Linked DNA regions of Oryzias latipes. The protein of the gene in region 1 binds, or shares a complex with, the protein of each later gene. Links are inferred from orthologs where the notes say so. Each region holds a gene or a part of one and is shown on either strand. Other genes may lie near its edges.

What was found.
Region 2: ralgapa1 (region 1) and ralgapb share a complex: the UniProt entries of both Homo sapiens proteins name them as parts of the heterodimeric RalGAP1 complex. The link is inferred for Oryzias latipes from reciprocal best matches to the Homo sapiens genes RALGAPA1 and RALGAPB.

What each region holds. Positions count from the first base shown.
Region 1 is NC_019880.2:19,685,820-19,700,940, reverse strand, and holds part of ralgapa1 (ral GTPase-activating protein subunit alpha-1), read right to left. Parts: intron 14,989-15,121; coding exon 14,945-14,988; intron 14,812-14,944; coding exon 14,634-14,811; intron 14,495-14,633; coding exon 14,379-14,494; intron 9,614-14,378; coding exon 9,475-9,613; intron 9,372-9,474; coding exon 9,163-9,371; intron 8,983-9,162; coding exon 8,659-8,982; intron 8,438-8,658; coding exon 8,258-8,437; intron 8,185-8,257; coding exon 8,113-8,184; intron 7,982-8,112; coding exon 7,833-7,981; intron 7,724-7,832; coding exon 7,597-7,723; intron 6,078-7,596; coding exon 5,931-6,077; intron 5,643-5,930; coding exon 5,552-5,642; intron 5,439-5,551; coding exon 5,274-5,438; intron 2,977-5,273; coding exon 2,830-2,976; intron 1-2,829. UniProt on the Homo sapiens protein: Catalytic subunit of the heterodimeric RalGAP1 complex which acts as a GTPase activator for the Ras-like small GTPases RALA and RALB.
Region 2 is NC_019865.2:1,628,705-1,644,606, forward strand, and holds the start of ralgapb (ral GTPase-activating protein subunit beta), read left to right. Parts: upstream 1-6,543; 5' UTR 6,544-6,684; intron 6,685-7,401; 5' UTR 7,402-7,445; coding exon 7,446-7,622; intron 7,623-9,126; coding exon 9,127-9,329; intron 9,330-9,823; coding exon 9,824-9,990; intron 9,991-10,080; coding exon 10,081-10,267; intron 10,268-10,406; coding exon 10,407-10,538; intron 10,539-10,770; coding exon 10,771-10,949; intron 10,950-11,470; coding exon 11,471-11,539; intron 11,540-12,114; coding exon 12,115-12,266; intron 12,267-12,433; coding exon 12,434-12,665; intron 12,666-13,252; coding exon 13,253-13,288; intron 13,289-14,040; coding exon 14,041-14,242; intron 14,243-14,318; coding exon 14,319-14,486; intron 14,487-14,565; coding exon 14,566-14,680; intron 14,681-14,860; coding exon 14,861-15,008; intron 15,009-15,902. Other genes in the region: vwa1 (von Willebrand factor A domain-containing protein 1), read left to right, coding at 334-657, 2,443-2,718, 2,880-3,155, 3,432-3,460. UniProt on the Homo sapiens protein: Non-catalytic subunit of the heterodimeric RalGAP1 and RalGAP2 complexes which act as GTPase activators for the Ras-like small GTPases RALA and RALB.

The DNA.
Region 1 (15,121 bases):
GTGTTCATCCAAACATAACTGATAAAACACTGAGTAGTTAGGAATATGAAAGATCATAAAATACTTTTTTCTGTTTATTTGATTCTATTAAAGACAATTTGATAAAAATGAGGGTATCGCGATTTAGCTGCAGCTTCAGCTCTGTTTTCAGAAAAGTCCCGCCCCTTCAACTGTCTCCTCCAATCATTCTTGGAGGCTTAATCACACGTCATCAGTCTGACCAATCAGAAGTGGTTAGAGTCTTCACTTCCTTGTTCTGATTCTGTTCATAAAGTCTCTCAGTTCCTACAAAAATATCAGCTAAAGCTCGTCTTTAGCGGTGGAGCCTTCCACAGAATCCGGTGTCAGACCGTGGAACAAGTGAACAAAACAATGAAGCTCAAAAAAGCGAGTCTGTCTGCAATCTGTGGCAGTTTTGCAATACATCTCCCATGATGCATTGGGTTAAAGTGACAGCATATCTGCGCTACAATGAGTCTTTCCTGTTAAATGTCTTGAAACCACAACGAACACACATCAAACAGTTTTTAAATCTTCTTGATGAAATCAGAGGTCAGCAGTTTAGTTCCTCCAAGTCATCTTTCTAACTGAAACCCTTTTCTAATAACGTCTGGATTATTTTATATGTTAAATTTAAGAAGAAGTAACAACAACATTTAAGAAACAGGATTAAGGTGAAGTGGCCAACAGACACAATTAGACTAAATTGAAACAATTTCATAATCTAAAAAGAAATAAAACATTTTGTTAAAGTTTTCAAATACTTCATTTTTTAATAAGACAAGAAAAAACTAATAAAACTTAAACATTTTCACTTTTTGTGTAGCTACAGAAAACAGAAATATTGTGATCATATAATTGCTCAAAAATTACAGTTGCCTTTCCACCAACATTGAAATAAATGTTTAAAAAATAAATCACTATTTAGAAAGAATCTATTTGTTTTTTTGTGAGGTTACATAAAATTGCATGTTAATAAACTGGAGGAAAAAATAATTACCAGGGTAAGATTTCTAATAATTTAGTTGAAAATTATTACTGAAAACTAACTTAACTTTTATTACATCTTTTAGAAAAAACAGCTGCAACTTCCAGCTTTTTCTGCCACAATTATCACAAAAATGCACGTGAGATCATGGAGGGACTGTACATCAATACAGACTATGAGTTTGTTCTTTTTTAATTATTGAATGCTGGTGTGCCGCGGGATTTTTGTCAAGGATAAAGTGTACCTTGGCTCAAAAAAGGTTGAAAATCACTGCTGTAAAGTATAAAAGTTTTGATTACACTAGATCAGGGGGGTTAAACTCATTTTCACTGAGGACCAGCATAGTGGTTGTCCTTAAAGTCCCTTTAACCCTTGTGCTATCTTAGATGACCCCACCCTTACATTGACGTGTTCTCCCTACCATGACAAAGGTGGATGAAGGTGGAAAGATTTCATGTAATCCATGGACACCAGTGAAGATCACAAATCATTGAAGAAAAAAGGTTCAGAGCACTGTCTAGTGGGTCTAGATGACCCAACTCCCAACGTTAAAGTGCCTAGGATAGCACAAGGGTTAATTAATGACAACCACTATGCTTAGACATGTAACTAGACATGTAACTAAATGTAATGAAAAATAAATGTAACTACTCCTTAATGTTAAATAACTCATTATTTATTTATTATAACTTTTTAAAGTGACAATTTTATAGAAAAAAATATGTTTGCTTGTTACTATAGGATAAATCCCTTTAAATTTGATTCTGCCAGGTTAGGTTATATGGACAGTGTTTAAGTTCTAATGTATAGTTGCTCAATCCCATATTTCAAATCAGGTTACCCCTAGATATGAATAAATACACACCAATTTTTTTATTTTATTTTAAGAGAATAAAAACTTTTATGCTCTCGCGGGCCACATACAATGACATGGAGGGCCACATTTGGCCCCCGGGCCTTGAGTTTGACACAAGTGTTCAAGTGAAACAAGACTCAGTTGTGAACATTTGTTATTTTTATTTCCATTTATTCCTATAATATGATGCTAAGTATGAAATGTGTATCCACTGGTTTAGAGAAGCTATTAGGAGATATTAGGCAAAACTTGTCCCTACAACTCATATGTTTGGTAATTTAATCCTAAATCTATTAAATTTTTGCAATACAACCATTTTAAAAAAGGTAATATTTTTACAAATAGGAGATGTTTTTAAACTTCTCTCGGTAAAAGCAAACAGATGTGAAAGATTTGCTCTATGGTGGTCTCTGTGAAAAGAAGCATTATAAATAAATAATAATGGAAGAAAGGATTTTGACAAAGATGACCAGATTACTCATGAATGTGTTTTTTCACATTTCTCTGTTAAAGTTCATGTGAGATTCCTAATGTGCCACGTAAGTGTGTTATTATGTACATGAGCATTATAATTAATTGAACTCGTAACTTTCTTCCTGCCTTCAAATAAAGTTTAATTAAAAAAGATAACATACTTGTGAGATCATATTTTTGACAAACCATTTATGTTTTAGCTTTTACAACTTTTTTCTAAATCAAACTTCACCAGTATTTAGGTCATTTTTAAAACCAGACCTTCCTCTTTTTTTTTCTTTAAACATAAACTACAACCGAATCCCTATTGATAAAATGATGTGTTATTATCTGAACATGTCAAGTAAGAAATTGGTGCAGTTTTAGTAACATTTTATAGTTCAAATCCAATTAAAAAAAAAGAAATCACAGAACAGCAACTTCAGCTAGAACAATGAAAACGGCTTCATCAGTCAAGAAAAACAGCGACACAAGTTGACATTTTCAGGTTCCAGGCAGACAGAAAGTGTACCTGCCAGATGGTCAGCAAGGGGGGGTAGAAAAGGGTGGTGTTGGTGAAGGAGGACAGGAAGAGGCGGAGCCAGAGCAGGAGCACTCTTAGCACTGCGGATAAAGGCTGAAGAGATCAGAGAGTCGCCTGTAGAGCAGCTACGCAGGGCTGAGGAATTAGGAAGAGAAGAAGAGAAATAGCGAAGAACAGGATAGAAAGAAAGCCAAAAGCAAAAGAAAGAAGTAACTTGAAGTGAGTAGGAAGGTGAGGAGGCATGAGAAAGACGACTGAAGATGCAGTGACCACGAAAACAAGGAAAGCAGATCAACTTTAGCAAAAAAAACAAAAAAATAGAAGAAAAATGTGTGAGAAAATAAAATGTGTTGTTTGTTTTGCTAGAAAACTAAACCAAAAGAATGTACCGTAATTAAGTAAAATGAGAGGCCTCCTGCACAAAAATACAAAAAACAGATGCAAAAAACAAAAAACAAATGCTCCGCAGTGCCATCCCATTCCTAACCCATAGAGTTCTGTATGATGTAGGTTGACCTTTTGCAGCTATTACAGCTTCAACTTTTCTGGGAATGTTTTTATAGGAATTTTTGACCATTCTTCCAAAAGCACACTAGTGAGGTCACACCGTGATGTTGGTGGAGAAGGCCCAACTCTCAGTCTCCACTTTACTTCATCCCATCAGGTTCAGGTCAGGACTCTGTGCAAACTTCCTCCACACACGACTGTCATCCATGTCTTTATAGTTCTTCCTTTGGTCACTTGTGCACAGTCATGTTGGAAGAGGAAGGGGCCCGCTCCAAACTATTACCACAATGTTGGGAGCTTGGAATTGTCCAAAATGTTTTGGTATCTTCTAGCATTCAGAGTTCCTTTCACTGGAACTAAGCCCAAGTACTAAAAAACAACCCCACACCATAATTCCTGCTCTACCAAATTTCACACTCGCCACAATGCAGTCCGACATGTACCGTTCTCATGGTAACCTCCAACCCCAGACTTATCCATCAGATTGCCAGATGGAAAAGTGTGATTTATCACTCCAGAGAAGGTGCCTACACTGCTCTAGAGTCCTGTGGCGTGCTTTACATCACAGCATCCGATGTTCTGCATTGGACTTGGTGATGTGTGGCTTGGATGTGGCTTGGAAACCCAATGAGGCTTATTTATTAAACTAAAACAGAATTAAACTTTTAAGAATGATCTTGGTCCCCTGACAGAAAACTAAAAAAAAAACTGATTATAACAGCAATGTCCTGCCACATTTTTTGTTACCATGCGAGAACAGCTGATCGTATAACCCCGGGGGTCGGGAACCTTTTTGGCCGAGAGAGCCATCAACAACACATAATTTTAAATGTAATTTCGAGAGAGCCATACAATAAGTTTAAAACTAAAAATACAAGTGAATGTGGGCATTTTATGTAATTTCAATACTTTTAAAGTCTGTAGATTCTTTTAATAACATTGTTATTTCTGGCACCATGTTGAACACAAAACTTTCTAAGTTGCAAATGAAAATATTAAATATTTGCTTTTAAATTATTTTCTTTTTTTGCTTTCACATTTTCTTTTTGCTGTAGAGGTGCCTGTCCTGAGAATAAACTGGACATGTCCAGGTGTACCCTGCTTTGGATAAAGGACATGGTGGGTTAAGAAAATGGATGGAAAATAATCAAAACAGATAAGCTAACTCTGAGCTAAAGTAGGTTAACTGGTAGCCGACCATAGTGATCGTCAAACGGTCGGCTGCCAGTTCGTCTACTTTAGCTCAGAGTTAGCTTGGCTATTTTTGTTTCATTATCCTCTTTTTACACCAACTGAGTAGAGTGGTATGTCTGCAGCCACTTTCTGGGCAGTTTTCCTCCACTGCTGGGTATGAAACTATCCACTGATGCGTTGTTTACACGATCAGCTGTTGACGCCTGCCGCTGACAAAATGTGGCTTGTGATTGCTGTATTATAATCTGTTTTATTCCGTTTTCAACAGAGCTATGGTTACAAGAGAATTTTCCCATTATGGGATCAATAACTTTCTAAAAAGTTCAATTTTTTAATGTTTAATAAAGAAAACTTAATACACATGCATATTGAGGTTCTTGGACCTTTGTGCATTGGAACAAAGATCCTATGGTAAAATGTTAACTTCACTTTTTTTTTGAAAAAAGGGAAGTTTGCTGTGCAATCTGCAGCACTTGATCAATCCAACACTTACAGACTCATCAATCTAACTTCTTTCCAAAAGAATGTGAGGTTCTGATTAAATGTTTCAAATTCTGTCACTAGATTTCCTAAGTGCACAACATGCTGAAATGTAAAAAGAAATAAACTGAGTCTAAAACGTTTTAATAAAATGAGTCATTTTAACAGTACTAGACATTGTAAAATGAGCCAGAGTGTAACTCATAATAGAGTTCATTGGTTTCCAAGTATGTAAGACACACATTACTGACCTACAGTCTTTTGGCGAACAATACTCCTCGCTTTTTCAATGCCCGGAGAACCAGCAGTGGTGGCACTTCGCTGCCTCATTGCTGCTGCCTGACCTGACTGGTCTCTGCTCCAGCCTTTGGAAAAGGAACGGTCCACTACTTGCCGCAGGCCCTCTGAACCGATAGCTGGCGAACGAAAAGAAGGCAGGTCAGGCTTACGATCATAATGCACGGGAATATTTTCAGACACCGTGTGTTGTTAAATGTCTGTCTGTACAGATCTCTAGTGAGGAGCGAACCTTTGCCTTTGTGTTTCTTCTGTTTCTGTTCGCTGAGTTTGTCCAGGGGCAGCTCATTCAGATCAACACTGTACAAATTTCTTGCCAAGACCTAAAAATCAAGATAAACATTGCTTTAACATTGCCATAGTGCATTTTTCTATTCATTTAGTCTCCATTTCTGACTCTACAAACCTTTTTTGATCAAAGGTTCAATTCAAAAACATTGATTGGGTTTTTCCCAGAATTTACCAGTATCCATTCAAACATTTTGATGGTTATAGGGGAAACTCCCTTGTGTTTTCATAATAAGTTTAAATCATGTCTCTGGAAATGACTGACGCAACACTGATATAGATTCCAATTAAAGGTCAAATCTAAAAAGATGGGAGTATAGGACCTTTGTGAGAGTTTCCATGGTGAGTGACCACTCAGTTACCAGCTCCTCCCAGAAGGTCAGAGAGGAGAGCACAGACAGGAGGTCGTCCCACAGCTCTCTGCTTATGTAGACATTCAGGTTTGCCTTAATCCAAGCTACTATCAGTGTCTAAAAAGAAAAAAAGAAAAAGAAAAACACACAAATAAGACTATAAATTAGAAAAAATTCCATTAAAACTAGCGGCATGACAGTGATTACGATGAGGGCTGTAAAATACATTTTCATTATGAACCACTCACATATTCTCACTCATACTAACATTCTCGCTCTCACATACATATATACTCACTATCACATACATACAGTGGAGCAAAAAAGCATTTAGTCAGCCACCAATTGTCCCAAGTTCTCCAACTTAAAAAGATTTCATTCAGTTCTGACAGACAAAATAAGAAAAACAATTCAGTAATACATCACATTGTCTGATTTTTAAAGAATTTATTTGTAATTTATGGTCAAAAATCTTTGGAGGGAGTTGAAAGTCTGTGTTGTCCAACGACAGCCCCAAAACATCACTGCTGTTGAGCATCTGAGCACACTGTGAACTGGACTTAGCATTCCTGCACACCAACACCAAGATGCTACTGACTTAACATCTCGTGGACACTGAATGTCTTATGTTTCTTGCTGTGTTTCTTTTTGTACTCATGCTGCACTTTGGTTATTTATTTAACTATTGGGTATTTATTTTGGTGAATTGAACTGAGAGGCTGTTGTTGATGCTCCAAATGAATTTTCGTTGTTTCACTGACAATGACAGAATAAAATCTTGAATCTTGAATCTTTTGCTCTAGAGGAGATCTGGATGGAGGAATGGGCCAAAATACCAGCAACAGTTTCTGAAAACCTTGTAAAGACTTACAGAATACGTTTGACTGCTATCATTGGCAATAAAGGGTATAAAACTAAGTATTGAATTGAACTTTTGTTATTGACCAAATACTTATTTTCCACTATAGCTTATTGATAAATTCTTTAAAAATAAGATTTTCAGGATTCTCATTTTGTTTCTCATAGTTGAAGTATACCGACACTGAAAATTACAGGCCTCTCTGATCTTTTTAAGTGGGAGAATTTGCACAATTGGGGGCTGACTAAATACTTTTTTGCCACACCGTATATACTCGCTCTCACATACAGTACAGACCAAAAGTTTGGACACACCTTCTCATTAAAAGAGTTTTCTTTATTTTCATGACTATGAAAATTGTACATTCACACTGAAGGCATCAAAACTATGAATTAACACATGTGGAATTATATACATAACAAAAAAGTATAAAACAAATGAAAATGTCATATTCTAGGTTCTTCATAGTAGCCACCTTTTGATTTGTTCACTGCATTGCACACTCTTGTTTATGTGTAGTTCTCCAATATAAAACCATATAAACCAGAATTTTCTAATGAACACTAAAAATTAGTTGCAAATATTTATCTGATTTTTTTTTATGGACATGTAAACAAATTGATGGTTTTGTTTTTTTCAGCAAATGGGTGTTTAAGGTCGAAAAACCTTTCAAGAAACTCGTAAGATGCTTAAATACCTAAAATGGTCTCCTTCTTATTTCCTGCAAAGGAGAGAAAGCTAAAATGTTGCCTTAGTGATATGCTGGCAGTGATGTACCTGGAAGACCGGTCCAGCAAGTCTGCCTGAAAGCGTGTTGTTAATCTTTTTGCCCAGAGGCATGATGGACGGTGGTCTTTTCATCACAGATTCTGTCACCCTCAGCAGAACTAGTAAGATCTGCTCCCTATGAAGAGATAAACCATTTTAGCTAGTTAGCATTTGTGACTGAACCTTTGTAGTATTTAGAATTATGAGAAAACAAGAAGTCCTTCAGTACGTTGGAGTATTCTTACCAAGTTTTCTGGTCCATTGTTTCATGCATGACAAGGCTGCGGTAGATGTTCAGGACTCGCTTGCACATGTCCACATGCTCCTCTAAAAGGATCTTGATGTCATTGGCAGGTTCCAGGAGGAAAACGTTGGAGGAGTGGGTGATAAAAACCTGCAGAATGAGCATGAGCTTTTAATGAAAACAACTAAGCAAACAGTTTTTCTTCATTTTTTTTATTTACAAATCCAACGAATGTGGATGAGAAGATTGGGGGAATTCTTGGGAGAAAAAAAAATCACTACCTGGAGTGTAGTCTGAATGCCAGCATGAACACTGTACTCAAGTAATTCTCTGTCAATATCTTTGTCCATTCCCTAAAAAACAAAACACAAGTGTTTAACAGAAACGTTTCATTGAGATACATGAATGATTTCAGGAGACTTTTACCTCATCTTCTTTTTCTCCCGGCTGTGAGCCAGTCTCTAGATTACAAGGGGCAGGTACGGGGTATGGGCCTTCTTCGGATTCTTTCATGAACACAGGCTTGTCCTCCATGGAGATCCATTCTTGATAAACACGAACCACTTTTCGCATTGCAGCTGCTTCACACATGGGGAGGAGAAAAGCCTATACAGGTGAAAGCAAAGCAGGCCTAGTTTATACGCTGAAAAAAAGCTTTTGATGATGGAAACTCTCAAGTGTTCAAATAAGAGTCAGAAAAAGGAAAACAAAGGGACAGCTGCTCTCACAACCATTAGGAAACACTGAAAAGTAATTTACCATCTCCCAGCTGTTAGTAGCTCTAAAGATACTTGAACAGGTATGAAAAATAACTATTTATTTCTCACCTGTCTAAAGATTTCTGTGATGAAGTTGACATTAGTTCTGCAGCTGGTCAGTACTCTCCGAACAACTTCCATGTCTGTCAGCTGCTCTTCGTCCATTGAGCACAGTGAGGAGGAGCTGGGCTCTCGTTCGGTCAGTGTTGAGGTGTTGGAGTGGCTCTGTTCGGGTTCTCCTGGAGCATCGAGACCGCCACAGATCCCCATGCTCGCTCCTGCTGGCCCTGAGGAGCCTCCGCTGGCTTCCAGGTGACTGTCGCAACGCAAGCCTCCCCCAACGCTGTCATCAGAGTTGCCCGCGGAGCGTGCAGCCATTCCAGCTGCTGCTCTCTAGACAAAGTGGAACGGTAAAAAACAGTTAATAAAAAATAAGAGGCACAAAAGTATGAACTATTTTGCAGTTTTTTCTTATTGAAATGTCTACAGAATGTTTTAATTTGAAAAAAATAAAAGATGGATGCAGTAGTGAAACAAAGATACATCACTTAATAGTACAATGTCTGTAATTACCTGTATGTTCTTTGGGACACTTTCCCCCTCTGTTCCTGGGATGTGTGCTTGTGTGTTGGGTCGTGGTTCCAACCAAAAGGAAACTAGCCAGCGAATAAAGATGACTCGGGCCTGAAGGAAACTCTCCTTGTTACAGTAGAGCATTTCCCCACCATCCTGCTCTCTGCGCACCAAACTGTAGGATGGCTTGGGACGCATTGGAGGCACATCTGCAAGGGACAAAAGTAAAGCACTCTCGTTCAGTGAATGTACTCCAGTATATGTGAAATTTTTACTCTTCTTTCTCCACCCTGATTATGACCACTGACTGACCCAACATGGGATTGTAAAGGCTCGTTTCCATGGCGAAGTTGGGGAATATGTGAGGAAGATAAAACTTCCTGAAGTGATCAAAGAGGAAGCTGAAGCCACGTTCATGGTTCTCTTTGCACCGCCACTCCAGAGATTTGGCCTGTTCAAAGCACAGATGCAAACAAACACAGAGAAACAAAGAACTTAACTTTTGATACAAAGAGGCTATTTTGCACTCAAACAAGATTAAGCAAAGAGGAGCCCCATTGTTTCAGAAGAGAGTGGTGTCAGTGTGAGGACACCAACAGTAAGCAAAATGAGACTGAAAACAGGGAACACAATGTGTATTTAAGGTGGTAAATAATTCAATTCACTTCAATTTTCTGTACTTCAAACACAAATTAAAATAAACACAAGAGTTTAAAAAAGACAGATAAAACAAGACAGTGTGCTTGAAAAGGAGTGGACTTAAGAGAAATCTTGTATGATCCCACCCCTTTTTTACAGCACCTGATCATCTGCGTATTTCTATTTACAGTTTTGTACATGTTATACATTCACATTACATTCTGCATTGCACCTATGCAGATGTGACATTTTTGTTTTTATTAATCATTACTTGCCTTGTACAGTTCCATCAGTGACATCTTGTAGGTTTTTTTGAATGCATGTAAACTTTTGGGTTTGTTTTAAACCTTCGTCCAATCCATTCCATAAATCCACACCATAAACTGATAAACACATTTTCTTTTTTGAAGTGCGAATGCACTGCTTTTTGAAGCTTAGCTGATTTCTTAAAATGTAACTCCCATCTCTTTCCTTGAACATTTGTTGCATGTTTATTGGAAGCAAGTTATTTCTGGCTTTAAACATGAGTGCTGTTTTAAGTTTTACTAGTTCCCAAAATTTCAATAAACCCAACTTTAGAAATAGTGCATTTGTATGAGTCCCATAATCCACATCATGAACTATTCGTATAGCCTTTTTGTAAGATATACAAACACTGTAGATTTGTTTTACGAGTATTTTCCTAATCTTCTACACTGTATGCTAAATGTGGTAGTATTATCAATGAATATATTAGTAGACGTGCTCTGTGAGTGAGTGTATGATGCATTTTTCCCAACACTGCTATGTTTTTAACAAGTTTAGCTCTGACTTGATTTATATGTGGCTTCAAGCTTATTTGGTCGTCCATAATTACTCCAAGGAACTTGATTTCAGTGGCTCTTTCCATATCATGATTATCAAAAGCAACTTATATTTCTAAATTTGCAGGAATGTGGCGATTTCCAAAAGTCATGAATTTAGTTTTGTTCACATTGAGTGACAGTTTATTTTTGTCGAAACATTGTTTTAGTTTCCCTAATTCTGTGTTTACTACTTTTACAACTTCCCGGAGGTTCTCCCCTCTACAGACTATACTTGTGTCGTCGGCATATAAAAAGTATTTGAGTGTATCTGACACCATGTATACATCCTTAATGTAAAGGATGAACAGTGTTTGGCCTAATACTGACCCGTGTGGTACTCCACAGCTTAAATTTAGCAGGGATGATTTTTAATCTTCCAGTTGGACAAACTGTTGCCGGTTTTTAGTGCAACTGTTCAACCAATTTAGTGCCAGTCCTTGTATTCCATATCTTTCCAGTATTTCTAAAATGTTATGATCAATAGTGTCAAAAGCCTTTTTCAGATCGACGAACACTTCTACTGTGAGCTCTTTATTATCCATGCCATTTATAATTTCTTCAGTTAGTTGTGTAATCACCATGGATGTTGATCTGTTTTTTCTGAAACCATATTGGTCGTCGGACATGAGTTTATGTTTCTCAACAAAATTTTCCAACCTTGTGAGGAATACTTTAAGTATTTTTGAGAATTTGCAGAGTAAAGACACTGCTCTGTAGTTTGTTAGTTGATGTTTGTCCCCTGATGTGTGTAATGTATTTACTTTAGCTATTTTCATTTTTTGTGGAAATGTTCCTGTTTGGAAGGATAAATTGCAAATGTAGGTTAGCGGGTCAAAAATGGAATCAATTACCTTTTTTATCACCATCACATTATTCCGTTACAGTCGGTAAATCTTTTGTTTTTGAATTCTTAGACGATTTTTAGAATTTCTTTTGCTTTCACGGGTTTCAAATAGATTGAGTTTGGATTTCTCTTTATGCAGTGCTCAACAGTTTCCATTTCTGATTTATTAGTACAGTTTATTTCAGCAAACTTTGGCCCTATTTTTACAAAACATTCATTGAACTCCTTAGTCATATCCTGAATTTTGTTGCATATCTCATTTTTACCAGCTACAGAGTCTGGACCATTTGTTTTCTCTGTGTCTTTTCTAATGACACTGTTCAATACTTTCCACATTTCTTTAGTATTTGATTTATTTTTTTCTAACATTTCTGTGTAATGGTCTTTTTTGCATGTTCTCATGATACTGGTTCATTTGTTTTTATATTTTTGTATCGCAGCTCAGCTTCAACAGTTCTGTTTTTTAAGAATTGTTTGTATAAACTGTTTGTTTTTTTTTGCACGCGTTTCTCAGTCCAGTTGTCATCCATGGGATTTTATTATACTGTTTTCTATTACAGAATTTTATAAGTGGGTATTTTTTGTCGTATATTGTTGTAAACCCCTGCATAACTTTTTACAAGCTGATTTAATATTGTTGCTTTCATACAGGTTTTTCCAAGTGTCTGCTTTTAGTTCTGATTTAAATGCATTTTTTGATTCCTCTGTTAGCTCACTTCTGTAAACTACTTGCTTCTTCTATACAAAACACATTCATATTTTGCAAATAGTGGAAGGTGGTCACTGATGTCGGTCATCAGTAATCCACTTTTTATTCTGTTTTCTAGGCGGTTTGTAAAAAAAATATTATCCATCAAGGTTGCGCTGTTATTCTGTTGGGTTTGTTGATTAATGGATGGAAGCTTGAACTGTACATTGTATGAGTAAAATCTTCTGTCGTGGTGTGATTGTTTGGGTTCAACAAAGAAATATGACATTTTTGGAGATATTAGCAAACATGTTTTCAATAGCACTTGTGAAAGTTTCCATGTCTGATGCAGGGGCTCAATACACACAACTGACAATGATGTTACTCTGTTTCTCCATACTAATCTCTACAGATTCAATGAGGTTCATTGTGTCTATAAATTATACTAAGTACTTAAATTCTTTTTTATCAGACACTGGTTTGCTTTGGTTTTTTTTTGGTAAAACGTACCTACATGTTTCGGTGGAATACCTTCCGTGAAGGCGTTTTACAAAAAAAAAAAAAACAGTGTCTGATGAAAAAGAATTTAAGTACGCAGTAATCCTTACATATATTTATTCCGTGACATCATCAATGCAGCCAGACATTGTTTTCACAACTTTGTGTTTAAGACTGCTGTGTATGTAAACCCCCCCCCCCCCCCCCCTGCTTATTTTTCCTGCTCACATAGTGAAAATCATAGCTCTCAAGATGGAAGTGCTTTTCTGCTGTTAGCCAGGTCTCTGAAATTGCAATTATTTTGAAAGGTTTGTTGAATTGGTGCAAGTATTCTTCAACGGTGATTTGCATATAAGCTTTTGCTGTTGAACTGTATGATTGAGAGTTCGTGATTTGTATTTCTATTGTATTCTTCTTCTGTGTAATAACTGCAGTGGTTACTCACAAAGTCAAAGAAATTAATATGTGGGTCATTGTCTACATCTATTGTTGTGTATTTTTTTCCCTTTTTGGTATGGATGTGTGCGGGGAGGACTACAGTGTTGTTGTATTCTATCAAAATGTGTCCAGTTCTTCAATTTCTTTGATCGCGATGACTTTTGCCTGTTCAGGTGGGCCGTTTAATTTAATGAAGACTTTGCAGTTTGTTGTCCAAGTCGATTGTATTTTTTTTTCCTTTTCTGAGAAACCGTGCTTTTCGTGCGATGCCAGAATTCTTCTTGGTAAGATGCTCATGCAGGTAGACATTTGTTCCTTTTAGTTTTCTTCCTTGCTTGAAGAGAGTATTTTCTGTTCGAAAATCGCATTCATTCCAGAAAGGAATTTGATCAATATTTCATTAAATGTGTGCAGGAATTTAGCATTAGTGGTATTAGTAAAGTCCTCAAACATACAGTGCAAATCACACCAACAAATCACTCAGTGCTAAAAACATTTTAAAAGATCACGACGACAATTAAAATGCAAAACAAATGATGAAAAAAAACGTACATTTTAGAAATCAAAACACAATAAAAAAAAAAGAAATAAAATTAAAAAGATACGTTTTGGAAAACTAAAGTAATTTCCAGAGAGCAAAATGAAATTTGAAAAACAGAAATGTCCTATAGTACGTATCTTTTCTGATTTCTTCTTTTGTTTTATATTTTAAGATTTTATTTTGATTTCTGGAAATTTTGTTTTCCGAAATGTTTTTTCTTTTTTTTATGGAAACTGGAAAAGGTGAGTGCTGTGGGACATCACTGATTGGATGATGATGTCTGTTCACCATTTCAACCGAAGGTTATTTGTCATGAAGAGATACTGAATATGATCTCTATATATGAGGACATTGAAGATGCATTTAAAAAAAAAACACACACAAAAAACCCCACGAAGAACCAAACGTCATCATCCAATCAGCGATGTCCCATAGTACCTACCTTTTCCGGTTTCTCACTGTGTTTCAATCTTTAAACATTTCATATTGATTTCTGGAAATTACTTTTGTTTACTGAAACATTTCTTTTTTTTTTTGTTGGGCTTTGGTTTCTAGAATTTAGTTTTAATTTGTATTTTTTTTTTTTAATTGTCTCGATTGTCTTTAATATGTTTTTGCGTTAAATGATTTGTGGATGTGATTTGTAATTCAGAGTCACAGTACAAACATCTTCTCCAGGTTTTTTTTTGTATTAGCTCTGTTAGTAAAGAATGGTGAGAATACCTGGTTTACCATGTATTTTAGTAGAGCTTCCAGGAAGTATGCAGTAAGATCCTCCTGGTTTTTATCACCAGATTGGGGAGCAACTAATGGTGTGATTTCTTCTGGAGTCACCTGAGCTGCAGGGAGAAAAGGCAGAAAAAGAATGATGGAAATATCCATTTCTTGCTCATCTTTATGTAAATGCTGCAGAAAACAATATATATTGTTTCAGCTGTTACTCTAAATCCACAGCTTTAGTCGGTTTGATCTACTAACTCTCTGTCAAACTGAGGGGTGGGTTGATCAGCGTTTCCAATGTGCGTGGGATCCCATGGAAGAGTGGAGCCGGGAAGCCAGGAATCAAACAAGCAAACATGCAGAGCTGCTCGTGCTCAGCATTGCTCTGCAGTGCCTGCATCCACAACAAGAACAATCGCACACCCTCACGGCGGATCTACAGAGTTGATTGAAAAGTGTTAGAGAACAAGTCACCACAAAATATACAAATATCAGGACAAAAGAGAGGCATTAAAATCAGGGGGATATGAGTGAAAGTCACCATAAAGAGTCAATTAATCAAATTGTACCTTTAGAGAGTTCCCAGTATGCAACAGCTTCTTGAGGATAAGCCCTGATAGAGAAAAGAGGCCAGATTGATAAATACTCACTGCGTTTTTTTAAATCCTAAATATCAAATCTTAAAGCAGACGAACATTTTTCAGAAAAGCTGTGTGAACATTTGAGGTTAAATGTGAACAAATTCA
Region 2 (15,902 bases), on another chromosome or scaffold:
TCACGCTGGATTAGGTAACTGCTGTAATAATCAAACAGGACACATAAGCAGTTAGAAAGACCTGATCTGCATCTTTAAGTCAGGAGAACTGCATGAATTCTTGGTAACCGACTGAATCATTCATTAAATCCATTTTGGAGTTCATTTTTTCAGGCGTTTCTGTAGATTTCAAGTTGAGTGCAAAGTTTATTTAGAAGCTGAGTTTGTCTGTCTGGGACTTTACCACTCCCTCAAACATCTTTTTTTCTAATATTTAGTCTTGTGTTTTTCTTATAATAGAAGTTAAGAGCGCACATTAACATTATTTTGGTTTCTTTACACTGTTTCCTACAGAGATTCTCCGCGCCGAGCGCATCCAAGTCCGGGATATTTCCACGGATTCTGCCACTCTGCAGTGGCGCCCGGTTCTGTCTGGTCTGAGTGGATACTATGAAATCCGGGTCGGTCAGGTTCCGTCTGGAGGTGGCAGCGGAGGTGGACCCGGAACTAGTCCGAGTATTGGTGGTAGTCAGTACCAAAGAGTCACCCAGCCCGCAGGCTCCAACAGTGTGCGTTTGAGGGACCTGAAGCCGGAAACCACGTACGTCGCCACCCTGACCTCGAAGTCCAACGAGCAAGACTTCAACTCGCTCTCTGTCACCTTCACCACAAAGCCAGGTTGCTTCATTTTTTTGTCAGTAAAATATGGAAAAACTTTTATGGTCCATTAAAAAACATAAATAAATCCAGAGTTCCGTAACTTAAGGTTCCACTCCGATCACCTTCTGATATTTTCTCAGTGTTTTCATGATGATTATGCCGTTTTTAGCCAAAATCAGAAAACCTGTGTCGTTTTCCAGGACCTAGTTTCTGCAGAGCAGCAGAAAATACTCTTCTGAGTTGTGGCCGGGACTGTCGGGGCGCAAGTAAACCTCTACTGATGTCCTACCATCCCTTTGTTTATACTCTCTCCCGCTAGCTTACAGCCCCTCACACCAGTGTTTTTCAACCAGTGTGCCGCGGCACACCAGTGTGCCGTGGGAGATGGTCAAGTGTGCCGTGAGAAATTGCCCTCATTAACTGATCTAAAAGCAATTACCATCTCCAGGAAATCAGCTCTTTGTTCATCCAAACAGGCCCTGATAAAACACTGAGAAGTTAAGAATATGAAATATTCTTGTTAAAATAAAATATGTCCAACACAAGAGGCCCTCAGCTCTCATCTGTTTGCCTAGCTGTTGGACAGGACAAGTTAAAAAAAAAAAAAAAAAAAAAAAAAGAATATGAAATATCATAAAATACTTTTTTCTTTGTGTTTATATGATTCTATTAAAGACATTTTGATAACAATAACGGGATACCGCGATTTAGCTGCAGCTATAACTGTGTAAGGAAAAGTCTCGCCCCTTTAACTGTCTCCACCAATCATTCTTGAAGGCTTAATCACATGTCATCAGTCTGACCAATCAGAAGTGGTTAAAGTATTCACTTCCTTGTTTCGATTTAGCGCAAAAAAGTCTCTCTGTTCTAACAAAAATACCAGCTAAAGCTCGTCTTTAGCGGTGTAGCTTTCCACAGAATCTGGTATCAGACTGGAACAAGTGAACAAAACCATGAAGCTCAAAGACGCTGGTCTTTCCGCGGTCGGCGGATTATGGGCACTACATCTCCCATGATGCAGTAAAATGACTGTTTTAGCGCACAATGAGTCTCTCCTCTTAACGTCTTAAAACAACGAACACACATCAAACAGTTTTTGAATCTTTTGACTTAATTTTTAATACATCTTTTAGAAAAAACAGCTGCAGCTTCCAGCTTTTTCTGCAACATTTATCACAAAAATGCATGTGAGATTGCAGAGCGGCTGTAGATCAATACAGACTGAGCTTTTTCTTTTTTTTTATTTATCTATTTTTTTGGATGCTGGTGTGCCGCGGGATTTTTGTCAAGGTTAAAGTGTGCCGTGGCTCAAAAAAGGTTGAAAAACACTGCCTCACACAATCAACCTAATATTAGCGGTGCAACAAAAATGGCGAGCAATATCGTAGCTATCCAGCCGTACAGTTTGAATCCAGATTCCAGCTCAGACAAGGAAAACAAAGACGTTCATGGATCTATTTGTATGTAAGAGGATGCATCAGAATGGAGCAGAGCAAGGAGCTTGAGGCTCCGCCCATTGCAATTTTTATGTGACAACTTGGAGATTCCTTTAAATGATTTTTTTCATCTGCTCTTGATTCATCACGATTTGATTAAAGAAGTACTCAGAAATGCAATTTTAAGCTTAATTTTCTTCATAAATGTTCACCGTAGTCATAAAAATGCTACTAGAACTTGATAAAAACACCATTTTCATTGGAGCTGGTCTTTCACAAGACAGGGCGATGTGAAGCTGGTTTTTCTCTGAATATCTTCAGTTTGGAAATTGAAGATGCTGAAGGAACTGTGTCTCCCTCCACTCAGAGGTGCTGAGCCCAGCTGTGGTGACGGTCTCCGAGTCGGGGCAGACCAGCGTTCGGGTCAGTTGGGGTCCTCTTCAGCCGGACACGGTCACAAGTTACCTGATCGAATACTCTGCCCTGCCTGGAGGGAAGCTGCAGACCGTCAGAGTGGACCCCAGGCAGAACTCCACTCTGCTGAGGGGCCTCCAGGCTGACACCACGTACCTGGTGACGGTCAGCGCTCGGCACGCCTCAGGAAAGGAGAAGGCCATGTCTGTCAAAATGTGTACTCAAGAAGGTGAGCAATGGGACTTCAATGGCCCGTGGTCTGTTTACCTGACGCTGATCAAACACAGGCAGGGAGAAGTTGCTCTGAGCTGTAAGGGGGCCACAGACGGCCCGTCTCTTCTGGATCTTCGAAGCATGCTCCGACTGATAGCGCTCGGTCTCCTTCTACAGTTACTCCGGCCCTGGCGGACCTCCAGCTGACCACTGTGGGAAGTGATTCGGTGCAGGTGGACTGGAAGGCCAGCGCACAGGGCTTGAGGGGTTACTGGCTCACCTGGGAGGGACAGCAGAGCTCTGTACCTGGCCGGCACTCCTCCCTCTATTTGCCACCTGACTCCCGGTCAACAAGGCTCACGCACCTCCCCCCGTCCTCCAGGGTGTGTGTGTCGCCCATTTACCAAAGCGCACGTGGAGATGGACTGTGCTGCACGGCACAGTTTCCGTCAGGTGAGCCGAGTCGTTTAATGGCACGAATAAATGAATGTGGTCTGCGACTGTCAATCATTGTCATTCTATCCTATAGATTTCTGATTCGACAACATGTGTCATTGTATTTACTCCTTTAAAGCGCAATTGTCAGTTTTTCTGGTTAAAGTTTTTCAAATTAGACCAAATCTGTCAACATGTCGGCATATGAAAACATCTAAAACGTGTTTTTAAAGCTTTGTTTTTGCCCGACACTTGCATGCAAAAGTCTCAGCAGTCTCCCTTTTCCCCCCTCAGAGTCGCTGTCGTATGGTTACCAGTCCTAGCAGAGCAGAATGGGAGGTGCACCTTTCCAAACATGGAGGGAGGAGGGGGAGAAAGGAAGAATGCTGACTTCCATCCATGAATCCGTTGCGTTCCTCTTCCTTCTGTGGACATTCAGCAGGAGAAGCGGTTTGGCTCCCCGAGCTCTCATGTGGAAGCCAGAGACTGTGACAGTCTGGCCAAAAGTCGACTGCTACAACCTGCAAAGCAGAAAACGTTACTTTTTTTTTACATTTCTGTTTTTTTCCTTTAGTATGCAAGAAATGCTTAATGTTAGAAATGCAAGCTTAAGGGAGTTTCTGGGTCTGTTTTGCAGAATCGCTGCAGTGCATCCTGGGAAAGTTAATGTTTTACATGGATTTGTTTTGGAAAAAAAAACTTTGCACCATGTGCACACCACATGCGCAACGTCTTTTAACGCACACAGAAACATCTGAAATGCATTTACAGGGCATTCTGTACATGCTGAAATGCTTCGCCTCTTACCACATCTTTTAATTCTTAGGGCTTGTGTGCGCCGCGCAGAGCAGCAAACTAAATCCAGGGCTTAGAAAATGTTTTTTTTTTCTCTTTGGAACACAGAGGATCCAACTGTTTTGAATTGAGAGAGGATGTCTTCTCATACAACACAGATGTGTGTGACTGATTTGTTGATTTCTATTAAAAAAAGTTCTATTCATATTTATTTATCTAAAAGTTATAGGCAGGACAATTCTAAATTTGGAGTCTTTACTGAAATGTTTACTGGATGTAGAGCCTGACTTTGCTGCCCCCTACTGTAAGAAGGTGTTGTGGCCCACTGCTGACCTTTTGCTTCATCCTGAGGATGTTTCTTGACCTCCATTCAGAACTACCACTATATGTGTATATGTATAAGCTGTAAATAAATATTACAGTATGTATCAGTGTCAGTAAGTGACTTTTAAAAAAATGTTATTACCACATAGGGGTCAACTTTTTATTTTTAAAAATTAAAAAACAGCTGTTTTGCTCAGCTGGGTGTGAATTATTTTGAAATTGAAGAACTTTAAAAAAAGGTTTTCTGCCCTGAATCAATAACCCCAGCATGCATTCGTTTTCTACGCCCTCTTGGTCCTTTCTGGGGTCACGGGGGTGCTGGAGCCTGTCCTAGCTACTGTCGGGGAGTGTGCGGTTCTTTCTGGATGTCCATTGTAGGGCCACAAAGGATCCATTTAGAGAATTGTGGCTTATATGCAGTATATTAAATTTTAACACAATCTTTTGTGTGATGCTCTTTTTGTTTTTGCATGAAAAAGGTCAAGTATACAATGAAAAGTATAGGATTTGCTTGAGATAAGATGAACTTTAATAATCCGTAGGGAAATTTAGTTGTTAAAACAACCCTGGGGTTTAGGCATCAAGATGCAAAGAAATTAAATATTCAGATGTGCAAAAATTAAAATTTACATACTTTAAAATATCATAGACAAGCTAAGTCATGTGGTGTGAAACATCTCAGGTAAAAAAAAAAAGACCATTAGAAACTCTGGAGTTGATTTTAGTGGCACAGATCATTCGATTCGATTTGATTCGATTTGATTTGACATGGTTTATTTCAAGCAATCAAAGTAAGAATACAAACAAAACAATCAGCAGCTATGCATTCGCACAGAGACGTATCAAACTTAGGATAATTAATACGCATTAGCATATGATAAAATCTGTTCCTTAAACTAGAATAGATAATGCTTTATGATGATTTTGCTCAGAAAAACACACTTGTTGTGGTCTGTCATCAGGTTACGCACTTTTCAGTTGTGTCTAAAAACAAATGTTAAAATAACAAGACTATAAATTAGCAACAGTTAAGCTATTACATCTAAATAAGCAGAATTAGCATCATTCATTAACAAATTATTCTTAAGGATAATACTGCACAGGACACTGGTGCAGAAAAATGTGACCTCTGATGAGTATGAGGTTTGTGTAATCCATGTGTAATCCATGAATAGCACATACATGCTATTCATGGATTACACAGCCCAAAAAAATGACAAGCAAAATTTAGATTTTCAACACTCATATTAAGATGAACTGCAAGGTTTTACTCTTCACACTTGGGAAGACACAAATCAAAAACTTTAACTTGTTTATTACCCATCGACCCTGTTACACAGTAGCTGTGTTAGTGTTCGCATTAAATGACATGAACAAGATGTAAATTGTGTGGACAAAGAAAATTCTGTCAGACTTTTTTTTTTTTTAGTATTTTGTTCCGTAGAGACAGAATAAAACTGCTCTGATTGCCGTGAAACTCGAAATGATAGAAGTTAACTTTTCTTGGAACTGAAAGAAACTTAGGAGAAAAATGATAATTAAAATTATCCAGAACATGGGTTGCACAGTGACTTTTTAAGGTATGAGAATGCTAAAATGTATCTCTTTGCTTATGATTTATGCTGCTTTCCTGACTGGTGATTTAGGCTTTTTATTGACAACACCAGCTAAAAGCTGTCAGATTACACGTGCACTATGAGCATGTGAACTGATCATGCTTAATCTATTGTAGAAGAAGTTGTAAATAAAATCGGGCTCTCTTCTTGGAGTGGAGGTCAGGTGCAAGGCTCCTGAGTGCCGAACACTATCTTTGCCCACATAACCAAAACACTGCAGGGCACCATGACAACCAAGCCTTTTCCAGAAAAGCTACTAATATAGATGCGGTCACAGCATTGGGTTCGGATGGGACCTCACTGACAGATCCAAACACAGAACCAAACAATGAAGGCAGGGGGTGGTGGCAGTGGCAGACTTTCACTCCCCGGCTTTAAGATGAGGAAAAATGTTATTTACTGCGCATGTGCATGACTGTGTATGCAAATATTCTTGTTGGCACAAACATGACAGAAAGAAAAAAAAGAGAACCGGGATTAAACTTTGCTTTTTTTTAATGACGTTGTCTTAAGGTGAATTTTGACTTTAACTGCTGTAGAGGGATATGTAAAAATTTGAATGAAGAATTACAGATTTTTTTTGGTTTCAAACTTCGACATGCCACACCCACAGTCTGCGCCTGCGTATATCCCCTCGGTGAACGCTAGGGGCGCCTCGCACCGGAAGCCGTCTCCTGTTAGCCCCGTCAAAAGCCTAGATCTCCAAAGCCTGACATTGTGAAGATGGAGGCTGTTGGGGTTTAGACCGGGAAGAGGGAGCTCACACCGGGACATTCGGAGTCGTGTTATGGAAACGTTCTCTGCAGGTTCAGGTAAAGACAAAAGCCTGTAATTTAACCAGCAAACTAACCTTGTTGTCTTTGAAAACTTGGTTAGTTAGCAAGCATAGCGAGCTAATGTCAGCGACGAAGCTAATGCTAGCTAAGCTAGCTGGGAAAATCGGAGCAACTTTCTCCTTCTATGTGATATTTGACCTGTGGGAGTATATGTTCATATTTTACCGATGATAATTTTCGGTTCCTAACAGAGAGAGGTGATATCGACTCAGCAGTCAATTAATTTTGGTTTATTCGGCAAGTTAGGACGGATGTTTTGAACGGGCTTCTCAGTAGGATCCGCTTCCTGGTTGGGAATCCTCCCTTTCTGACCGAACCGAGACGCGTCCCGTAAACATTAGAATAACTAAAACTTGAGTTAAGTTTTCAGACTACACTGCCAGGCTGTGCTATGAAAGAACGGGGCTGCTTTTCCTCGCTAACATGGAAACTTGCCCAAGAACACAAAGCCCTGGGGTGTTTTTGTTTACTGATGCTTCCCTGTTTACAGGGAAGAGAAATCCTTAGCTGTGTCAGGTCCATACATGATATCCAGTTCAGATTGACTATTTGACGTGCTATCACACAGACAATAATTTCAATGAGAGTCTGCATAATTGTATTACAATTTTTTTATGTGATTAATACTTTGACAACGGCATGTGAATGACCTAAGTACAGTTTTCCCTGACCTCCACATTTGTGTGTCTGCAGGTGGAGGCAGGAGCTGCATGTAGAGAGCATCAGAAATCAGCAGGATGTACTCGGAGTGGCGCTCGCTGCAGCTGGTGGTGCAGAGTGATCAGGGCCACATAAGCGTGCTGCACACCTACCCAAACAATGTCGGCACCGAAGTGGCAAACGCCGTGGTGAAGCCTCTGGGCACAGCGGTCAGTCCTGTGGCCACGGAGAACATCCTCAAGACGGACAAAGAGGTGAGAACCTTTCTAATAATGGTGCTCCATCATAACTGCTGCTTGTTCAAGATCATGTGCTGGTCGTTAAGACTGTGTGCTTTTAAAAAGAAGGTTCTAATATCAAATCCTGCCCCCTTCCTGTGTAGAATTTGCACGTTTTTTTAATTACCCTCCTTCAGTTTAGAAAGGTGTATATATATGACAGTATATCCTGCTTTTACTCTATGAAAGCTGGTATGGGATCCAGCTACCGCTTTGATTCTAGTGGGGATGTAGTGGCTTTAGATAATAAAATTGTTAGTTATTTTTTTAGTTTTGGTTCATTCATTTGCTTTAAATGGTACACATATAAGTTGTGAACTGTCAGAGGTTTTAAAAAAAGCTACTCTTTCCTAAAGGTTGTTTCCCCTGAAAGGTTGTTTCCCCTGGGAGATGCATTCTAAAAACAGATGTTAAAGCCAGGAAAGCTCCTCACTACACACTTCATAGACTTTTCTGGAACAGACATGGATATTTTCACTCGTTTCTGTCTTGTTTAATCTCTCAAAGTTTAAACTTTCATAGAAAAATAGGTCCAGGATTATAGAATAACAACAAAGATCTGATTGTGATCGAAGATTTATGTTATTGAGGTGATTGGATTCTGTACAGGAGACACAGCACGGATGAGGTGGACAACGATCCACAGGGATGAAAAACACCATTAACCTTTTAAAGAAAAGACAACAAAAAGCATGCAAAATTCCATACAAAAAATCTGCAAAACAGTCCGACAGCGAAAGGGGAATCGTGATATACATTTTACATTTCAGAATTACACGTAAAATGTCTCTTCCATTCAATTTAAAACAGTTTGTGTGCAACTGAGGTTGACTAGCCTTAAAACAATGCAATATGTCCAAAGCTCTGGACAGACTTAAACCTTCTGATATGGCATGAACCTAATAAAACAATGAAATGTTGCATGCTTAATGGTTGAGCCTCCCGGCTGCACCGTCCCAGAGCTTCTTGGAATCTGTCAGGTGGCCACGCCCTCTTTGAAATGGATGCTCTTTCGAAAAGAAAAAAACAACAACAAACCCAACAACTGGTTAACATTTCTGAAAAATGCAGAGTTGGGGGCAGAACTGAGCAGTTTCAGAGTTTCAGGCTTGTGATTGAAGCTTTTTTGTAGGTGATAAACACTCACTTGCTGCATCTGAGGTTCATTTTTCCGTCTGTTCTTTGTCCATCAAATACACAGACGTGTAGGTGATGCTATAGTTTTCATTCATCACTTACGTAAAACCTTGCATGCCATTTTGGAATCAAAAGAGAATCAAGCAAACAGCCAGGGTTAAGTTACTAAGTTCTATTATCTGTCATCATGCAAAATGGAAGACTTTGCTGTGATCATCCTGAAACAGTAAGCTGTTAAACCCATACCTTAAATTAATCATGTTTTTTTTCCCTCATACATGTTATTTTAAATTAAAAAGTTGCTCCATGGAAGTCTGTTGAATCCTGAAAAACTGGTTTTCAGGTGAAATGGACCATGGAGGTTCTGTGCTATGGCCTGACCCTCCCATTAGAAGGAGACACTGTCAAGCTTTGCGTGGATGTGTACACTGACTGGATGATGGCTCTGGTGTCACCCAGAGACTCCATGCCACAGCCTGTGGTGAAGGAGCCCAACATGTATGTGCAGACCATTCTGAAACATCTGTACAATGTCTTCGTTCCAAGGTATGTGACCAGCTTTCCTTTTCCTCCTCCTTCTGAATGATTTTGGCTCTAATGTTGTGTGACTTCTCTTCTGTTGGTCAGTAAAGTAATGACGGCAGACGGTTAAATTATTATTGGGAGTTATTGGTTCATAAACGGGTCAAATTGTTCTGTGCTAGCTTAGCTTTTCACAATGATGAACAGTAAATACTTGGATCAGACGTCTGTGCACTTGAAGAATTACAGGTTATATGGAGCAATTATTTTTTTGTCTTAACATGTACAGGTGAAGGAAATGAAGGATTTAGGGACATGTTTTTGAAGGATTTTCAAAGTTCTGTCTGTTTTTCCTTCCTATTTTTCTGTAAATTAGGTTTTTCTGTGACATCACCTTAGAACTTTACATCAAAATCAAAGCCATGTGGCGATGCAGCATCCATCAGCTGCCTTTTAAATACTTAAAAATGGTCAGGAATTCTTTGGACCATTCATTGTTTCCAATTGAACTGTTTCAGGCCTGAACAACACAGTCTGAACCACATCAGACTTTGCCAGCAGGTTCTGACTGCGGTCCAGAAGCTGGCCCGAGAGTCCGTTTCTATGGTGAGAGAAACCTGGGAGGTGTTGTTGCTTTTTCTGCTTCGTATCAATGACACACTGCTGGCACCGCCCACGGTTGGAGGTAAATCTCCACTTGAAGTCGTTTCTTACTCGATCGTCATGGTTCTTGGCGGCGGTGACGAACGACGGTCTCCTTTGTTTCTTCCTTCAGTGGGCGTGGCAGAGAAACTTGCAGAAAAGTTGATGGCTGTGTTGTTTGAAGTGTGGTTACTCGCTTGTGCTCGCTGCTTTCCCACGCCGCCGTACTGGAAGACGGCGAAGGAAATGCTGGCGAACTGGAGACACCACCCTCCTGTTGTTGAGCAGTGGAGCAGGGTGGCCTGTGCTCTGACGTCCAGGTCAGAAGATTCAAGCTTCTAAGGCATTTAGTCACATTAGTTATTGAACTGAGTACCGCTAACGTCGGTGTGACACCTGCTGGACAATGGAATGCAGATTCAGAGGTCTGGTGTTGAACCTGCTACCCTCTTGTTGCAGACTTCTGCGGTTCACCCACGGACCATCCTTCCCACCTTTCAAGGTCCCAGATGAAGACGCCAACTTGATTCCCGTAGAAATGGACAACGACTGTGTGGCTCAGACGTGGTATCGATTTTTGCACATGATCAGGTCCTGAAAGCCTCTTTGTGTGTTGGTCCTTTTAACGGAACTGTGGTTTGATAACACACTTTTTGTGTAGCCTGTTATGGGAAGTTGAACTAACATTTCTTTCAAACCAGTTCTTGCATGACCACAGTTCAGGCTCTACGTCTGTTTGAGTTCCTGTTCGACAAAGTTTACCGTTGCAATTTAGCGACAACTTTTTATTCAATCTGCAGATGTGTTTCCCTTTTTTTCCCAGCAACCCCGTGGACCTGAGCAACCCCGCCATCGTCAGCACCACTCCAAAGTTTCAGGAGCAGTTTCTCAGCCCGAGTGGAATCCCCCACGAAGTGGTTTTGCACCCCTGTTTAAAGCAGCTCCCCCAGATCTTCTTTAGGGCAATGCGGGGGGTCAGCTGCCTTGTCGATGCCTTCTTGGGTAAGAAGATATTTGGTCAAGCTGTTGAAGAATTTGAGTCAAAGCTTAAGAAAAGCCAACTGTAAAAGTTATAGCGTTTTTAAAAAAAAATTTTTTATACGGATTGCTCTCATCCGTTTTAGTTTGGAAAAGCCATTTGGCTTTAAGAATGAAGGAAAACGCGGCTGGAATGGGTTCTGATCAGAGCAGCCATGTCCATCCAAACCAAACTAGTCTTCCCGCTTTCTTTGTCACACCGGATCAGAAGAAAATTTCAGAAATCATGAAAGCAGCATTCTTCAACATGTCTTAGAGTTTGTGACCACTCCAGATGGGACGTCAGAGGTCTCCAACCCTGAAATTTGATTTTAGTCATTTAGCCCACCTTTACCAAACTGCTCACATTCATAGTTAGGGAAGTGAAGTTCTCTCTGTATCACCTTGATGTTATTCTGATTTTTAATCTAGCACAATCTCCCTACTGGTTTATAAAGTGACTGAAATGCGAACCTGCCCGTATGTATTTTCTCTTCACACTGTAGGTGTCTCTGTTGAAAAGAGAGACGTTCGCGACAGAGTGTTCACTTTTTTTCCACTGCAGCTCTCTCATGGTACAGACATCAAACAATCAGATCCTGTGGGCACATGGTTTGTTTGTTTGTTTGTGGTGACATTAAAGGTCCAGTGTGTAGGACGCAGCCATATTTGACACATCGCCATGGCGTGATCACAGCCACCCCTCTTCTGAGTCACTTTGTCTTTAGTCTTAGCTCCCAAGAAGGAACTGACCCTTTAACTGACCCTGTTTTAATGATAAGTCTATAAAGACTTATTCTTTTTCTACAAAACAAAAGCCCTAAAATTTTCTTAAAGGGTTCATCTAAATGTTACACACTGGAACTTTACAAACTGGGGGTAATCTTCTGCCTACAAAATGACAAATTCCAGATTCAAACTAAACAACAACAAAATGACGCAGAGAAATCCTGCAGGTTCAAATCCAGATGGATGACACTAATGATCGGTGGTTTGTTTCTAACAAATGTCCTGCATGCGAATGAATGGAACAGTGTTTGATTGACTTGACCTTCCTGAAGACAAATCATTTTTGTCTCTTCAGATTTTTTGCTTGAACAAAATAATCCCCCCCCCCACCGTTCTTTACCCTTTTTTTTTTTGTACGTAGGTATATCGCGGCCCCGGGCTGACAGCGCCCCGCCCACTCCAGTTAACAGACTGAGTGTGTCCCCGCCCCCTTCCATTGCCAACACTACACCCCCACACAGCCGCAAACAGCGACACATGGCGGTCACCAAAACTGCAAGCAAGAGTTCATCTGTAAGTCCAGAAGATTTGGAGGGAAGCTGCCGGTTTTGGCTAAAAACATCGGTATCGTCAGAATGAAAAGACCGCTGGGAATGAAGAGTTGATCGGAGTTTGGCTGAAACACGGTCGTGTTCAAAGATGGTGTCTAGCATTCTGTTCTCCCCTGTCTGCCTCTGTAGAGCAGTGTGAGTCAAACGACCAAAGCGACCCAGCAGCAGCAGCAGCATCAATCTTCCTCCCCGACCCTGCTTTCCAGCCCCAACCAGAGCAGCTGGGAGTCCCGGCCGCTGCCCGCCCCGGCGCGGCCCAAAGTCAACAGCATCCTGAACCTGTTTGGTCAGTGGCTTTTTGACGCTGCCTTGGTGCACTGTAAGCTGCACAGCGGCCTGAGCAGAGACGGCAGCATGACTGGTAAGGGTCGGGGGTGTTGGGATGCTCTAGCGCATGGGGGAGGGGGGGTGTTGCTGTCCTTTTACTGTGTGTTTTTGTAAATGTCTTTGATTTTTGTGGTTGTCAGTTTTTTCTGTGCCCATGTTGGAGTCTGTTTTCCTTTTTTCACCATTTTTACCCTAAACTTTCCTGTGTGTGTGTGTGTGTGTGTGCACACGTGTGTGTGTGCGCATATGTGCGCGCGTGCGTGTGTACAGCTTGGTTAGAAGTGGCCTTTCTGTATAATTCCTGTCCATTCACATCTGCCACCTGTTTAAACTGGACGACATCTACATGCATATGAAAACCACACTGAAGGGCTAAGTCACACAAAGTCTGTCTAAAAATACCAAGCGGCTAATGACTGAATTTGAAAAAGACTCTGTTAGCTTCTCTTTGGGGTGTCCTGCACGTGTCTGCCATGTCTGATTTAATGTAAAAGTTGGAATGAGTCAAAGTCATGTATTGAGGAGGACAAAACACGATTCATGCCTGATATGAATTGGTCCTAAATGATGGGATCTGCTTTGATTTTTCTCTCTCTTCACTATTTTTTTGTTATCTTGCAGCCTCTTTTATCCAAATTCTCCTTTCTTATAAATCTTGTAAGTAGGAATGACAGATTTAATTTTTTTCTCTCACCTGATCTTGCGTTTTTGACAAACCTCCCCTGCTTTTCAGTTGACTTCCTCATGGTCATTGCCATCATCACTATCTTTTCATGCCCCCCCCCACTCCTTCTCATGTTTAAACCAGCGGTCTCGCCACTCGGCTGATGAAACGGATTTCACCAACTGACCATTTGTCTCCGCCATAATGCTGCCAGTCTGTGAATATGCTGCCCCATTCGAGCTGGTCTTCACTTTTCAGTTCTGCTAATCCTTCTTGATGTGTTTATTTATTATTAGCATTTGTTTTTCAGTTTACGTTGGCGTTGTCCGTTCATTTGAGTTGTGGTTTTATTGGTTTGGCGCCTCAATGCATGAAGCGAATGGTCTGTACTTTGACTTATGCAGATGTCGTCTAATGAAAGCTCAGAGGACGCTGACACAGGGACTTTGCTTTTAGGACAAACGGCAGACACGTTTGACCTTTTTCCACCTGAGCTTTTGCCAGAGAACCAAATGAAACTCATTCGGCAAATTCCTTTTGTCAGAGTTTCCTTTTAAAAGTGGATATTTGCAGCAATTCTGTAATAGAAACACAATCTTTGGTCGCCTTTATGTATGAAATGTGATCGATTCACTTTTTTTTACTGTGCACATTGTAGTCTGTCTGTTCTGTGTAAATGCATGCAAACAAATGACCACAATGCAATTCAGGGTTCTCTCATTCTGTGTCCTCCCCCCTCCTGCAGCCATAAGCACTCAGCTGGGGTTGGACCTGAGGAGGAAGGGCTCTCAGATGTCGACCGACTCCATGGTGCCAAACCCTTTGTTTGACATCAACGAGTTCCCGGAGAGCTACGAGGCAGGACGAGCGGAGGCCTGCGGGACGCTCTGCCGCATCTTCTGTAGCAAGAAAACCGGAGAAGACATTCTGTCCGTCTACCTGTCCAGGTAGCAGACGTTCTCTGCCAAATGTCTCTGTAGTTTGGGAGACTGCTGTTGCATGAGTTCTCATTGCTGTCTGCAGGTTCTACATGGTCCTGATTCAGGGTCTCCAGATATCGGATTTTATCTGCAGACCAGTTCTGGCTTCCATCATTCTCAACTCTTCGTCTTTGTTCTGCACTGATTTGAAGGGCATCAATGTGGTAGTGCCCTATTTCATAGCTGCTCTTGAAACTATCGTGCCAGACAGGTGAGCCTCTGAGTCCATCGTAGGTTCCTCTCTGGATTTGGTGTTCAGGGTTGTGACCCGCCTCTCATGCATTTCTCAGGGAACTGTCCAAATTCAAAATGTATGTAAATCCTACTGACTTGAGGAGAGCCTCCATCAACATCCTCCTGGCCATGCTGCCTCTCCCACATCACTTTGGGAACATCAAGTCTGAGGTAGCCTCTTACTTTAAGATCTGACGTTTGCCTGTTTCTGCTTTGATCAAAATGTAGACTATTGCTCGTGTAAAGTCATTTAGGTTGTTTCCTCTTTACTTGTATGTGTCCGTTGTCTTTAAGCCACAGTAGGAAATGATATGTTTGATAAATGAGCCGTTTATTTTCTTCCTGCTTTAGGTTCTGCTGGAGGGAAAGTTTAACGAGGAGGACGGCTGTCCACACGACCAGCCGGTGTCCTTCCTGTCGCTGAGGCTCCGCCTGGTCAACGTCCTCATAGGAGCACTGCAGACGGAGACGGACCCCACCAACACACAGCTCATTCTGGGTATGTGTGACGAGGACTGAAATGACCTTCCCTCTGCACGTCCACGTGAAAGACAAGCACGTGGACAGCAGGAATACAGACCTTTCTGATCTGTTTCTATCTTCTTGATTATCCGTTAACGTTTGGTAACATGATCATTTAAAAGCAAAAATGTGACGCGTTTTACTGCTTCTAAAAAAACACTTCCTGACAGCAGTTTGATTCACAGCAGAAAAGACCAAAAGAAGAACAAAAAAGTTTGTTTGTTTTACTCTTTTGGTGATCAGAAGTCTCTGGAAGTGTCCGTCAGAGGTGGAAGCTATTTAAGGCTTTTTAGTGGTTTATTTAGTGCTTTTATTTATTTATTCCCATAAAACGATGACAAAGGCAAAACAATACAACATGCAAGCTTGTTTTTGTGTGTGTGTGTGTGTGTGTGTGTGTGTGTGTGTGTGTGTGTGTGTGTGTGTGTGTGACAGTGACAGGGGAACAGACAGAAGAAAACATTATTGTTGCCCCTTTTGCTTCATTAATTACTGAATTAATAAAATCATTGAGGCAGTTTTTTCCCCTCTCTCAAAACAATAAGCAAACGACAGATCAAATGTGGATTTCCTTAGTTTAAACACAGCTATAAATGCAGACTAAATAACAAGCATTTCTCATATTTCTGGAATTTTACCTTTAAATCATTTTTTTAAAATCTGCTTATTGATTTTATTTGATTTATGCTTGAAAACCTGCATTAAAACACGACTTTCTTTACCTTTAGTTCTAGATTAAAGTTTGTTACATCTTCTTTTAACTTGTAATTACTCTGTTTTTCCCCCAATTTATTTCGTATAATACAAGGTAAACATTAAGAAAGCACTTTTTTACTACATACTGTACGTTTTTAAAATGCTTTATTTGACT